Linked DNA regions of Macaca fascicularis. The protein of the gene in region 1 purifies or fractionates together with the protein of each later gene. This does not show direct contact. Links are inferred from orthologs where the notes say so. Each region holds a gene or a part of one and is shown on either strand. Other genes may lie near its edges.

Region 1 (4,208 bases):
CTGGGATTACAGGCGTAAGCCACGGCACCCAGCTAATTTTTGTAATTTTAGTAGAGACAGGGTTTCAGGCCATCGACCAGGCTGGTCTCGAACTCCTGACCCCAATTGATCTGCCCGCCTTGGCCTCCCAGAGTGTTCAGATTACAGGCATGAGCCACTGCGCCCAGCCCGTATAGGACTCTTAAAGCAGTGCCTGGCACATGTGTGCTCCATGAACATTAGCATGCAAGACTGAAACCTCCTGGCAAGGACTCAGGGGAGTTTTGCAGAAAACACAACAAAGCCAGTCAGACTTAGAATCATCAAGGCAGGACCACCCCCACCTGTATGCCTGGCAAATCTCTAAAATCACGTGGTCTTTCTTCTCCTTCTCTCTGCCCATGGGCCTGAACTCAACCCTATTTCATTGACTGCCCCAGCTTCCCCTGCCCGCCTCCCCTGCCCGCTGCCACCTCCACCTTCTGGAGACCTGGAGAGTTTCATTTCTCACTGTCCATGGCTGGGACAAAGTCCACTCCTCACTCTGAAGAGCAGGCGCCTGGCGGGACAAAAACACCCACAGGGTAGGGGCGTTCTGGCTCTGCCACCTGCCGGCTTGTGCAGTCTGTTTCTCAGCCTCCGTTTCCTCATTTATAACACCCACATGAACTGGTACTTAGGATGAATGGGAGTCTGTTTTGAAACTTCAATGCAAAAATATGGTTAAAAAGTTTACATCAGTGCCCAGGAAGAAGCAAGAGCTTGATATAATAATGTTAGTGTGACAATAAATGTTGACAGACTTTTTCTCTTCCTCTTCCTTTTTTAAAAAAATTTTGATTTTTAATTTCATTTCTTTCTTTCTTTCTTTCTTTTTTTTTTTTTTGAGACAGAGTCTCGCTGTGTCACCCAGGCTGGAGTGCAGTGGCACGGTCTCGGCTCACGGCAACCTCCGCCTCTTGGGTTCAAGCAGTTCTCCTGCCTCATCCTCCTGAGTGGCTGGGATTACGGCACGCGCCACCACGCCCGGCTAATTTTTGTATTTTTAGTAGAGACGGGGTTTCACCATGTTGGCCAGGCTGGTCTCAAACTCCTGACCTCAGGTGATCTGCCTGGGATTACAGGTATGAGCCACTGTGCCCAGCCCCCATTTCATTTTTTTTTTTTTAGAGACAGGGTCTCACTCTGTCACCCAGGCTGGAGTGCAGTGGTGGGGTCACGGCTCACTGCAGCCTTGAACTCCTGGGCTCAAGCAATCCTCCGACCTCAGCCTCCTGAGTAGCTGGGACTACAGGTGTGTGGCACAACACCTGGCTAATTTTTGTCTTTTTGGTAGAGACAGGGTCTCACCTATGTTACCCAGGCTCCAGGGCTCAAGCAATCCTCCTGCCTCAGCCTCCCAAAGTGTTGGGATTATAGGCATAAACACTGCACCTGGCTAACTTTCTTTTTGAATTTTTTTGTAGAAATGGAGTCTTGCTATGTTGCCCAGGCTTGTCTTGAACCCCTGGGCTCAAGCGATCCTCCCACCTCGTCCTTTTTAAATGTTTTAACTGCATCTGAAACGTGCTCTTCTCTCCCACTCTTCCTCCCACACTGTCATACAGTCTTTCATGCGTTGCGTATGCATTTATTGAGCATCTACTAGGTCCAGGAACTGTTCAAAGTGCCACTGCATATCAAGGCAAGCACATCCGCTCTCACAGAGCTCCTAGTCTGGTTCAGGGAGACCAACAGTAAGTGGGAAAATAACCCAAGATCATTTCAGAGAATGAAAAGTACTGTGAAAGCCATGAGCTGGGGGCTGTGTGGCTCTGAGAGACTGGCTGGGAAGGGGCTACAGGGGACCATGGTGGTCAAGGGAGGCCTTTGGGGACAGGAGGTGACATTGAGCTGAGACCTGAACGAGCTGAGGGAGGAGGCTGGGTGGAGATCAGGGAGGAAAGCTCTCGGAAGGTGAAGCCACCTGCCCAAAGGCCCTGGGGCAGGATTGCGCCTGGCTAGCTGGAGGAACAGTGAGGAAACCCATGTGACTGGATAACCGTTAGGAGGGGGAGAAAGGAAGAAGGTGTGGGGTGGTATAGGGTGTGAGGTTGGGATCCTGGGTCTCAGGGAAGAATTCGGGGTGTCAGGAAGGAATTTGGGATGTTGGGGAGGGATCCTGGGTGTCAGGGAGGAATCTGGGGTATTGGGGAGGGATCCTGGGTATTGGGGAAGAATCCAGGGTGTCAGAGAGGGATCCTTGGTGTCACAGAGGAATTTGGGGTGTCTGGGAGGAATCTGGGGTATTGGGGAAGGATCCTGCACGTCAGGGAGGAATTTTGGGTGTCAGGGAGAAATTCAGGGTGTTGAAATATCGGGTGTCAGGTAGGAAGCTTGGGGCTCAGGAATTTGGGGTGAGGAGGAATATGGGGTTTCAGGTAGGCATCCTGGGTGTTGGGGAGGAATCTGGGGTTTGGGGGAGGGGTCAGGCTGTAGGGGAGGAAACCCGGGTGCTGGGGAGGATCCCGACAGTGGGGGAGGATCTGGGCCACCAGCGAGGAGAGCTGGAGGTTGAGGGGAACGTCAACCTCCCAACGCGCGGCGCCAGGCCTCCCCGGGGCCCTAAGAGGGAGGCCAGGTGGCCTGGAGTCCTGGCGAGCGGCGCGGGCGCAGGGCCACCCTCCACACCCCCGACACTTTCTCCACCTCTGGCCAGTCCTCGCCGCTTCCCCACCTACCAGGGATCCGGGGCTGCCGGCTGCGCCACTGGGTCCTAGGGTCCTGGGGTCCTGGGGTCCTGGGGGCCGGGACTTCTGCGGAGGTTCCCGCAGACCTCAGCGCGCTGAGGGCGCTGGCTCCACCCCGCGGCTCCCGCCCTTGGAAGGAAACGCACCGCCCCTTCCGCGTCCTGGGTGGGTGTGGGACGTGAGGTCACGGTTTCGGAGTCCTGCCCCGCAGCACCGGGAAAGTCCCCGGGGCGCCCCGCACCTGTGCCCTCTCTTCCCAGCCCTTGCGGTCACGTTCAGCAAGTGTGAGCACCTACTGTGTGCAGGGGGCCAGAAGAACTCGCATCTGCCCTGGGGAGCCCACAGTCATCTGGGCTGGGGGCCCAGATGAGAAAGTAATCACAATTGGAAAGTAGGATCATCTCCGTTAGCGATAGGTGCTTTCCAGGAAATAAATGCAGCAGCTGTTTTTTTTTTATTTATTTTATTTTATTTTATTTTTATTTTATTTTATTTTACTTTACTTTATTTTACATTTTATTTTATTTTACATTTTATTTTATTTTATTTTATTTTATTTTATTTTATTTTATTTTATTTTTCCCCGAGACGGAGTTTCGCTTTTGTTGCCCAGACTGGAGTGCAGTGGTGCGATCTCAGCTCACTGCAACCTCCGCCTTCCCGGGTTCAGGCGATTCTCCTGCCTCAGCTTCCCGAGTAGCTGGGACTACAGGTGACATGTGCCACCACGCCTGGCTAATTTTGTATTTTTAGTAGAGACGGGGTTTCTCCATGTTGGTCAGGGTGGTCTCGAACTCCTGACCTCAAGTGACCCACTCACCTCGGTCTCCCAAAATGCTGGGATTACAGGTGTGAGCTTCCATGCCCGGGTCCCCCCAACTTTTTTTTTTTTGAGATGGAGTCTTACTCTGTGGCTCAGGCTGGAGTGCAGTGGTGCGACCTCGGCTCACTGCAATTTTCTTGCCTAAGCCTCCTGAGTAGCTGGGATTACAGGCACGTGCTGCCACATCCGGCTCATTTTTGTATTTTTAGTTGAGACGGGGTTTTACCATGTTGGCCAGGCTGGTCTCGAACTCTTGACCTCAGATGATGGGTCCACATCAGCCTCCCAAAGTGCTGGGATTACAGGCGTGAGCCACCACGCCCGGCCTAATTTTATTATAATAATTATTCTTATTATTATAGGGGTCTCCCTATCTTGCCCAGGCTGCTCTTAAACTTCCAGGCTCAAGCAATCCTCCCATCTCAGCCTCTCAAAGTGCTGGGATTACAGGTGTGAGCCACCGCACCCGGCCTATAACATTATTTTTATCACCACGATAAATAAGATCTAATAATCACAGTGATTTTGCAGTGGTGACAAGTGTCAGTTGTGTTTCTGGTTGCAATGCAATCTGAAAGTATCTGTGGCTTTTATTAGGGACAAAGGGACAAAGTCCCAGGTCCTGCGGCTGTCTTCATTAATAATTGAGGAAATGGTAATTATCAGTTAGAGGCCGG
Region 2 (3,648 bases), on another chromosome or scaffold:
CCACGACTTACTCATCTTTATATTCCCGGTGCCGACTAAAGTGCCCACAGTAGGGACTGAAAAGAAAGAATTCTTGAATGAAGGAGTAAGTGAATGAGTGAAAGTATGAAGTGTATGCCTTGTAGTGTGAAAGACTAAGTCCTCACAAGCAGAAACAATCAACTTTCCTGTCTAGGAAGAACCCTGGAATTTTACAGCATCTCTCAAGCTAATGACACGTTATCAAGAGTCCTATTCATCCTATGATCACTGATTCCTAAATGGGATTACTCATTCATTCAACAAAAATTTACTGGGCACCTATTAGTTCCAGGCACAGTGAGTGTAGATGCTGAGGAGACAGCAGAGGATAAATCAGATATGGTCCTTGCCCTCACGGAACTCACAGTTTAGCAAGCAAGACTGACATTAAAAGAATAAACAATTATAAACCTTAACTGATTTCACTGAAGCCCATTACTTCATATGGCAGTGTTGGTTCATATCAAACCCCACTCCTCTAATGCCTTACTTTCATATGGCTCCTTATTTGCAAATATCGCCCAAAGTACGACGGCAAAGCTGTACACATCTGACTTCTCCGTGGGCTTTGCGTTGACGTCGTTCAGGTGCTCGGGCGCCATGTAGTAGAGGGTGCCGCCGTTCTTCTTAGAGGTGCCGTCCACTTCCTTCAGCTCATTGTGCTCTTCTTTACTCAGTTTGCTCCACATCTTAAAGGAAGCAAGGCCGAGGTCTGCGATCTGCGAAAGACATCGAGCCACGGGGATTATTTGGTGAAGGCCATAAGCAAATCAGATCTGACTTTAAATCTAGGGCTTGTCCAGTATACATAAGGTATGGTAAATTTTCCTGAAACGGTTTCACTGGGCAGGTTCAAAATGGCGACTTCTCAACAGACTCATAGAAACTGTGTGTCTCCTCAGCCATTTGTAAAATCTCCCCGCAGGAAACGTTACATGAAATTCTGGTATCGCATTCCTTATGCAATAAGGGGGAGGGGAAAAGCAGAAGAGGTTTCTGACAAGAATAGTAACAACCAAATATATTTGTTCTAATTCCCCATTGACTCTGCATATGTTTTTCAACTATTTCTGGGGCTTGGGGGAAAATGGTTATTTTCTTCTCTGCACATTTATGTAGCAGACAGTGGCTAAGTACTACACCTTCTATTTCCCCAAATGGCGTCCAGAGGCCCATGGATGCGAGTGTCCAAGGATCCCAAAGACACGCTGAGGATAAGGACTGCAGTGTTGCTTGTTTTGAGCTGTAGCCTGAACCTAAGAGAAGAAGGGGTGGGAAGGAGGAGAAAAACAGACAAAAAGCAGAGAGAAAAATACCAAGGTCAGACGCAGAACAAGAACAGAGTTGGCAGGGCAAAATGACAGAGCAGTGCAGTGAAGAAGAGAACACAGGTGCCAGTTCCACTTCTGCCTGCAGGAATCCAAGCGAGCATGTGGGGATGAACTGTGGCACATGATTACCTAAAATCCACAGATTCTAACCCACGACATAAGAGGGAAGTCACGAATTTGAAGATAGGTTATGAAGGAGGAATTTTTATTCCCAGGCCTTTTTTTAAAGGCCTGTCCAAGACTAGGACAAAGCACTAGACGTAGAACCTGCTGGTGGAGAGAGGCCCCTGTGTCAGCAGCTCCTGAGTGCCTCCCCCAGGGCTGCCTCCCCCAGGGCTGCCTCCCCCAGGGCTGCCTCCCCCAGGGCTGCTTCCCCTTTTGGATGCTTGTGCTTGGATTCCTGCTGCGAAAGCCAATTAGATATGACACTCCCCGCTAGCTAAATCCTGCCCTTGAATGAACAAAAGAAAAACCCCTTTCCCTTGTTCCCTTTATGACAATGGAAAGAACGTGTTCAAAGGAAACTGATTTTTTAAAACACAGAAGCAAATAATCAAATAAAAATATAAAACAAAATTTCAAAGTAGAAGTTTTTGATGCACTGCTGATCTCTTTTTTTTTTTCTTAGAGGCAGAGTTTTGCTCTTGTGGCCCAGGCTAGAGTGCAATGGCACAATCTCGGCTCACCACAACCTCCGCCTCCCGGCTTCAGGTGATTCTCCTGCCTCAGCCTCCCAAGCAGCTGGAATTACAGGCATGCGCTACCACGCCTGGCTGATTTTGTATTTTTAGTAGAGATGGGGTTTCTCCATATTGGTCAGGCTGGTCTTGAACTCCCAACCTCAGGTGATCTGCTCACCTCAGCCTCCCAAAGTGCTGGGATTACAGGCATGAGCCACCGCACCCGGCCGCTGATCTCACTCTTAGGCCATATCTGAACTCTAAAGATTTTCTGCACGCACCCTCATTCCCCTGCATTTCCAGAGGAGGGGAGTCTTGGTGACACATTATGGCACCAATGGCCCATTCCAGGATGTAAAGGGCAACTTTTGAATGTTTCTAACAGAGGAGAAAAACACAATCTAGGAAAGAGGACTTCTCATCTCCCCCACTCAATTCCACTCCTCCCCAAAAGATATGAGTTATCCTGACAGTTATCTCCTGATCCCATCAAGCCTGCGTCTTTCCTTTCAATCGCTGGTAGAGCCCTTCAGCACCATCATCACCAGTTATAAGCTGAGCTAGGTCTTCCTTTAGCTTCTCCAGTTTACAAGAATGGGTTTACATTGGAGAATTAAAACTAAAATCACCCAACTTTCTGGAAGCCTACAGATGATGGTTTACCTTAATGTGGAAGTCATCATCAACAAGGATATTTTCAGGCTTCAGGTCCTTGTGTATCACGCCTTTTCCATGTAAGTAGCACATCCCTTCAATGATTTCCACAATTATCCTTCCTTTTACAGAAAGCGGGGTACTCATCTAAAACAAGTGACATTAAGTCTATGAAATGGAAAGGTAATCAAATAGGCCAAAGCAACTGTTTCATGAAAGGGTGGTGGGATCTGAGCCTGAGGAGAGGGTTACAGGTTTCCTTCCAGCAGACGCACCACAGCACTGCTGTCACTGGAAAACAAGAAAGATTTCATTCTTGGAGGGCAAAAGGTATTCATGTTGTATTTTGTTAGTGTAAAAACAAAAATCCCACAATAATTTGGTAATGTATAAAATACTATAAAATTAAGCTCCTTGAGAACAAAAATATATATTATTTAGGACTGTATCTTTAGAACCTAGGATTATACCTGGAATGCTTGCTGAATGAATGGATGAATAAATATATAAGCAAGCATTTTCTATGGGATACTCATACGATGTCATACTAAGTTTACATTAAGGACATGAACAATGCCATGGAAATGTCACATGTAAAATAACATTAAGAGAAAAAAGAATACAAGGGAACATGTTCACACTGATTACAATCATAGAAAAATCTGAGATAAACATGATGTTAAAACGACAACGCTTCAGTGAATTAATATCTATTTGATGACCTGGTAGCAGATACTTCAGGCTTTTGTAGAGTCTCAGGTCACTGGTTCCTATAATTGTATTCTTATTATATGAACATCAATATTAACAAACAATTCCAGTTTCTATTATAGTGGTTAAAATAGTTTTGCTTCACAACAAAAAATCAGTATACAAACAAGATGTTTCCTAAAAATTTATATGTATTTTGGTTGTTGGTTAACAGGAAAAAAATTTTAATGACAAAAGTGAGATTCCAAGTC
Region 3 (4,181 bases), on another chromosome or scaffold:
GAAACAGAGCCAGGCACTCTTTCTTTGCCCTCTTTTATTCCCTTTCACAGGATGCACCACCATCTAACATTATGTTGTCTATGTGATTGTTGCCATCGGATTGTTCATCTCCTGTACTCCATTGCAAGTTTCAGTGGGTTTGCCCACTGCTTTGTCTCCGGCACTCAGAATGGTGTCTGGCAAATGGTTGATGCTCAATAAATATTTGCTGAATCAATAACTGATTGAATAACTGATTAAATGAAGGTTTACTTAAGTCCACATTGTAGACATTTTCTGCCAAGCGCTGTGGGCATTACAAAGAAAAATACGATGTGGCTCCAGACTTCAATGGACTCACAGTCTAGAGTAAGAGTTTAGATGGGAGCAAAGCTAATACTGTCTCAAGGGGCCGTAAAATAGGCTTAGAAAATTTGTCCTGTGGTTCAGAGAAAGCAGAGATCGAGTCCGTATTCAGGAAAGGCTTCCCAGAAAAGGAAGATTTTAAAGTGGGTCTCGGAAGATGAGTAAGGTTTAGATATGTGGAAAGGGGAAGAAAAAACATGTCGTAAGGAGAGGACAACATGAGCATGGAAAGAGTGGAAAACAAACTTAGATTAGCTGGTGAGTGGTAGGAGTGGTGAAACCTAAGTAAGAGGGCAAACCAGATCAGGAGGGCCTCAGACTTTGTCCTGCAGCAATTATTTCAATCATTTATCACATATAAATTTAGTGGCTACTGTGTGCTGACCACTGGAAATATAGTGGTCCTTGCCAATTCCGTTACAAAGGAAGAGAGAGAAAATAAACAAACAAAAATATAAAATGTTGTGCTCCAGAAAAAAAAAAATAAAGCAATAAAAGGGAATTTGAGGCAAATAAGTGAGGCTGGAGAGCTCTACATGGGGCAATCAAGGAAGACTGCCCTGAGGAGGGGACATGTAAGCAGAAATCTGAATGGAGTGATTAAACCATGAAAATGACCAGGGCTGCACTGACCAATACGGTAGTCACTTGCCATACACAGTTATTAAACACAAGAAACGTGAATAGTCTAAATTGAGATGCATGGTAAATGTAAAATATATACTAAATTCCAGATTTAGTACCAAACAAGCAATGTAAAATATCAGTAATAGGTAAATATATATTAAAATTTTAAACATTATTTTAAATATGTTAAGTTAAATAAAAATATTAAATTCACTTGTTTCTTTTTTTAATGAGGCTACTAAAAACTTTAAAAGTACATATGTGGTTCACATAATATTGCCATTGGATAGCACTGATCTAGCATTCTAGGTAGAAGAAATAGCCAGTGCAAAGGCCTTGTGGTAGAAACCTGTCCTAATGGCAATGGAGAGTTATCAAAAGTTTTTAAGGAGATAATTTGTTAGATCAAAGCTTAAGGAAAAATAATAACAACAAATGCAAATACATAACAAACAAGAACGTGCAGAATGAATTAAAGGAAGAAGACTGGAATCAGGAAAGCAGTCACTGTGTAAGAGTCAACGCCAGGGGAAATGAGGGCCTGCCGTACAGTGGCAAGAAGGGGATGGGCAGGTATGGACAGGCTTCAGGGACTTACAGGAAATCGTACATGGGGAAAAGAAGAAGTCAAGGTTGGCTGTGGTTTTATCTCGCAGTGAGCCTAATTAGAAAATCTATCTCCACTAACCTAACAGCAGAGGGATACAGAGAAGAAGACAAGGAGGAGGACTATGGGCGGGGAATTGAGGGAAGGGATGGCTTTGAGATAATGAATTAGTCTTTGCTAAATATTACTTGATTTTCTCCCATATCCTCAACTTCAGGACTGCAGCTGGCTTTGCCTCTCTTGAGTTTCTGACCCTGCCTCACTGTAAATCATTTTCTTAGCTGTTCGGCTCTACTATGGGTTTCTAAAGCAACTGTGAAGTCTGTGCAGGGGAAAAACAAAAAAGATCCATCATGAATAAGATTATCAACCAGCTGATTGGTATTTCACCAAGAAACAAACTGTTGCAATAGCTGATATTATACATATTTCCCTCTTGCTTTTTTCTTCTCTCTCTCTCCTTTCCTTTTTCATTCTCTTATTTTTTTCATCCTCTGGACTAAACTATATGACTGCATACAGAAATCTGACACCCACTTAGAAAGTTCTTTCTGTAGAGACACACACACAAAAGCCATCTTCTTCCTGAGATTGACAGGAGCAGGGGGACTGCCTGAAGCTGAGTGTAAAGACCACCGGTGGGAAGAAATGACACTGAAGCAGTCTGTTTATTCTCTGGTGAAGAAGGTATTATAATTCTCTTATAGATGCGAAAGCTAGTCTCAGACAGGTTTGATAATTTTTTCACGCAGCCACAAGGTAGCAGAGCAGGGACCTTACGCAGATCTACGTAACCTAATGCACTCAAAATCTCCAAATGGAACAAACCTGTTAGCACTCAAAATCTCCAAATGGAACAAACCCCCATTGGCTGCCTTTAGTGCCCTTTAACAATGAATTACTTGATCTCTGTGGCTTCTTGAGTCTTTAAGGTAATTTAACTCTTTTTTTGCAAAAATAAACCAGGGCACACAGTGAGAAGCTCTGGGCAGAAGTGAGGGAGAGTTCAGAGGCGCTGACTCCAGCCACATACCTCCACGCAGGGCTCCCAGCTTTCTGGTCTCACGCAGGAGAGGAAGGCCATGGCTGGGATCAGAGTCCCAGCCAGGCGCAAGGCAGACGTCATCCTGGCATCATCCTCACTGCTTCTGTGAGCGACAGTGGCCCTGTGAACGCGTGGCTCGCTCACCGTTTCACCGTTTCACCGGGCAGTTTCTGAGGCACTGGTGTCTTCTCTTCCTCAAGCCGGTGCCCCACAGCAATTGGTACATTCAAAGCAGTTCTGGGCTACAGGGTGAGAGGAAGTGAAAGTTGCAACCTTAGCATTCTGGACTTTTGTTTGTCTAATAGTTATCTCTTTTGTCACAGGAGAGGAAGTTAGAAGGAGAAGAAGAAAACGCCTGCAGACCAGTGGCTAAAGAAACAGCAAGAGGAAGCTAGTTGGCTTTTATCCCAGGAAGTCATCTGACCTCTGTCTGGGCTTGGCGAATTTAGGAAAACCATCAGATACTGTTAAAATAGCCCTTGCAACTCTCTAGGATGATGGTGATTTTCCAGTTTTGTTTCAGCTGTGGAAACACTATTTGTATTAGTTTGCTGGGGCTGCCATAATGAATTACTACAGACTGGGTGGCTTAAACCACAGAGATTTATTTTCTCACAATTCTAGAGGCTTCCAGTCTGAACTCAAGATGTCAGCAACTGTGTCTAAATTCTAATCTCCCCTTCTTATAAGGACACCAGTTATGTTGGATGAGGGCCCACCATAATGACCTCATTCTACCTTACATACCTCTTTCAAGGCTTTCTCTCCATATATGGTCATAATCTGAGGCAGGGGGTTTAGGACCTCAATATATAAGTTTTTGCAAGGATGCAATTTGGTCCACCTCTTCTTGTGAAGAAACTCACATATAAAACTGAAAATAAAGCTCCAGTGAAACACTGAAAAGTACAAGAAGATTGGGAAAAGTCTGGGACTTCAGAATTGAATATACTGAAGTTCAGATCTCAGCTGGGTGACTCATGGCCTCGAGGCATTGGTCAAGTCACGTAAACTACTAAGTTTTACTTTCTTTCTTTTTTTCCCCCCATTTTCCTTGTTATGGTAAAATCACATAACATAACATGACATGACATAACATAACATAAAATGTATTACCTTGACCATTTGTATGCGTACAATTCTGTGGCATTAATTACGTTCATATTTTTGTACAATCACCACTATTCATTAAGCAATAACTCCCCATTTCTCCTTTCCCTAGCCCCTGGAAACTACGCACTGCTTTTTGTCTCTATAATTTTGACTACCCTAGGTATCTCTTAGAAGTGGAATCATACAGTATGTGTTTTTTTTGTAACTGGTTTATTTCACTTTGCATAATGTCTTCAAGGTTCATTTCTGTGTAGTATAGATCAAAGCATCCTTCCTTTTTAAAGCTGAGCAATATTCCATTATATGTACATACTACATTTTGCTTATCCATTTGTCTGTTCATGGACACTTGCATTGTTGCCACACATTAGCTATTGTGAATAATGCTGCTATGAACATGGTTGTACAAAATATCTCTTAAAGTCCCTGCTTTCAGTTCTTCTG

What was found.
Region 2: the proteins of TICAM1 (region 1) and RIPK1 purify together in Homo sapiens (affinity purification with western blotting; 4 studies listed by BioGRID). This does not show direct contact. The link is inferred for Macaca fascicularis from reciprocal best matches to the Homo sapiens genes TICAM1 and RIPK1.
Region 3: the proteins of TICAM1 (region 1) and TLR4 purify together in Homo sapiens (affinity purification with western blotting; 3 studies listed by BioGRID). This does not show direct contact. The link is inferred for Macaca fascicularis from reciprocal best matches to the Homo sapiens genes TICAM1 and TLR4.

Annotation. Positions count from the first base shown.
Region 1 is NC_088393.1:5,599,838-5,604,045, forward strand, and holds the start of TICAM1 (TIR domain-containing adapter molecule 1), read right to left. Parts: upstream 2,815-4,208; 5' UTR 2,700-2,814; intron 1-2,699.
Region 2 is NC_088378.1:169,982,106-169,985,753, forward strand, and holds part of RIPK1 (receptor-interacting serine/threonine-protein kinase 1), read right to left. Parts: intron 2,834-3,648; coding exon 2,696-2,833; intron 1,278-2,695; exon of another isoform or gene 1,164-1,277; intron 741-1,163; coding exon 512-740; intron 1-511. UniProt on the Homo sapiens protein: Serine-threonine kinase which is a key regulator of TNF-mediated apoptosis, necroptosis and inflammatory pathways.
Region 3 is NC_088389.1:40,361,696-40,365,876, forward strand, and holds the start of TLR4 (toll-like receptor 4), read right to left. Parts: upstream 2,837-4,181; 5' UTR 2,706-2,836; coding exon 2,613-2,705; intron 1-2,612.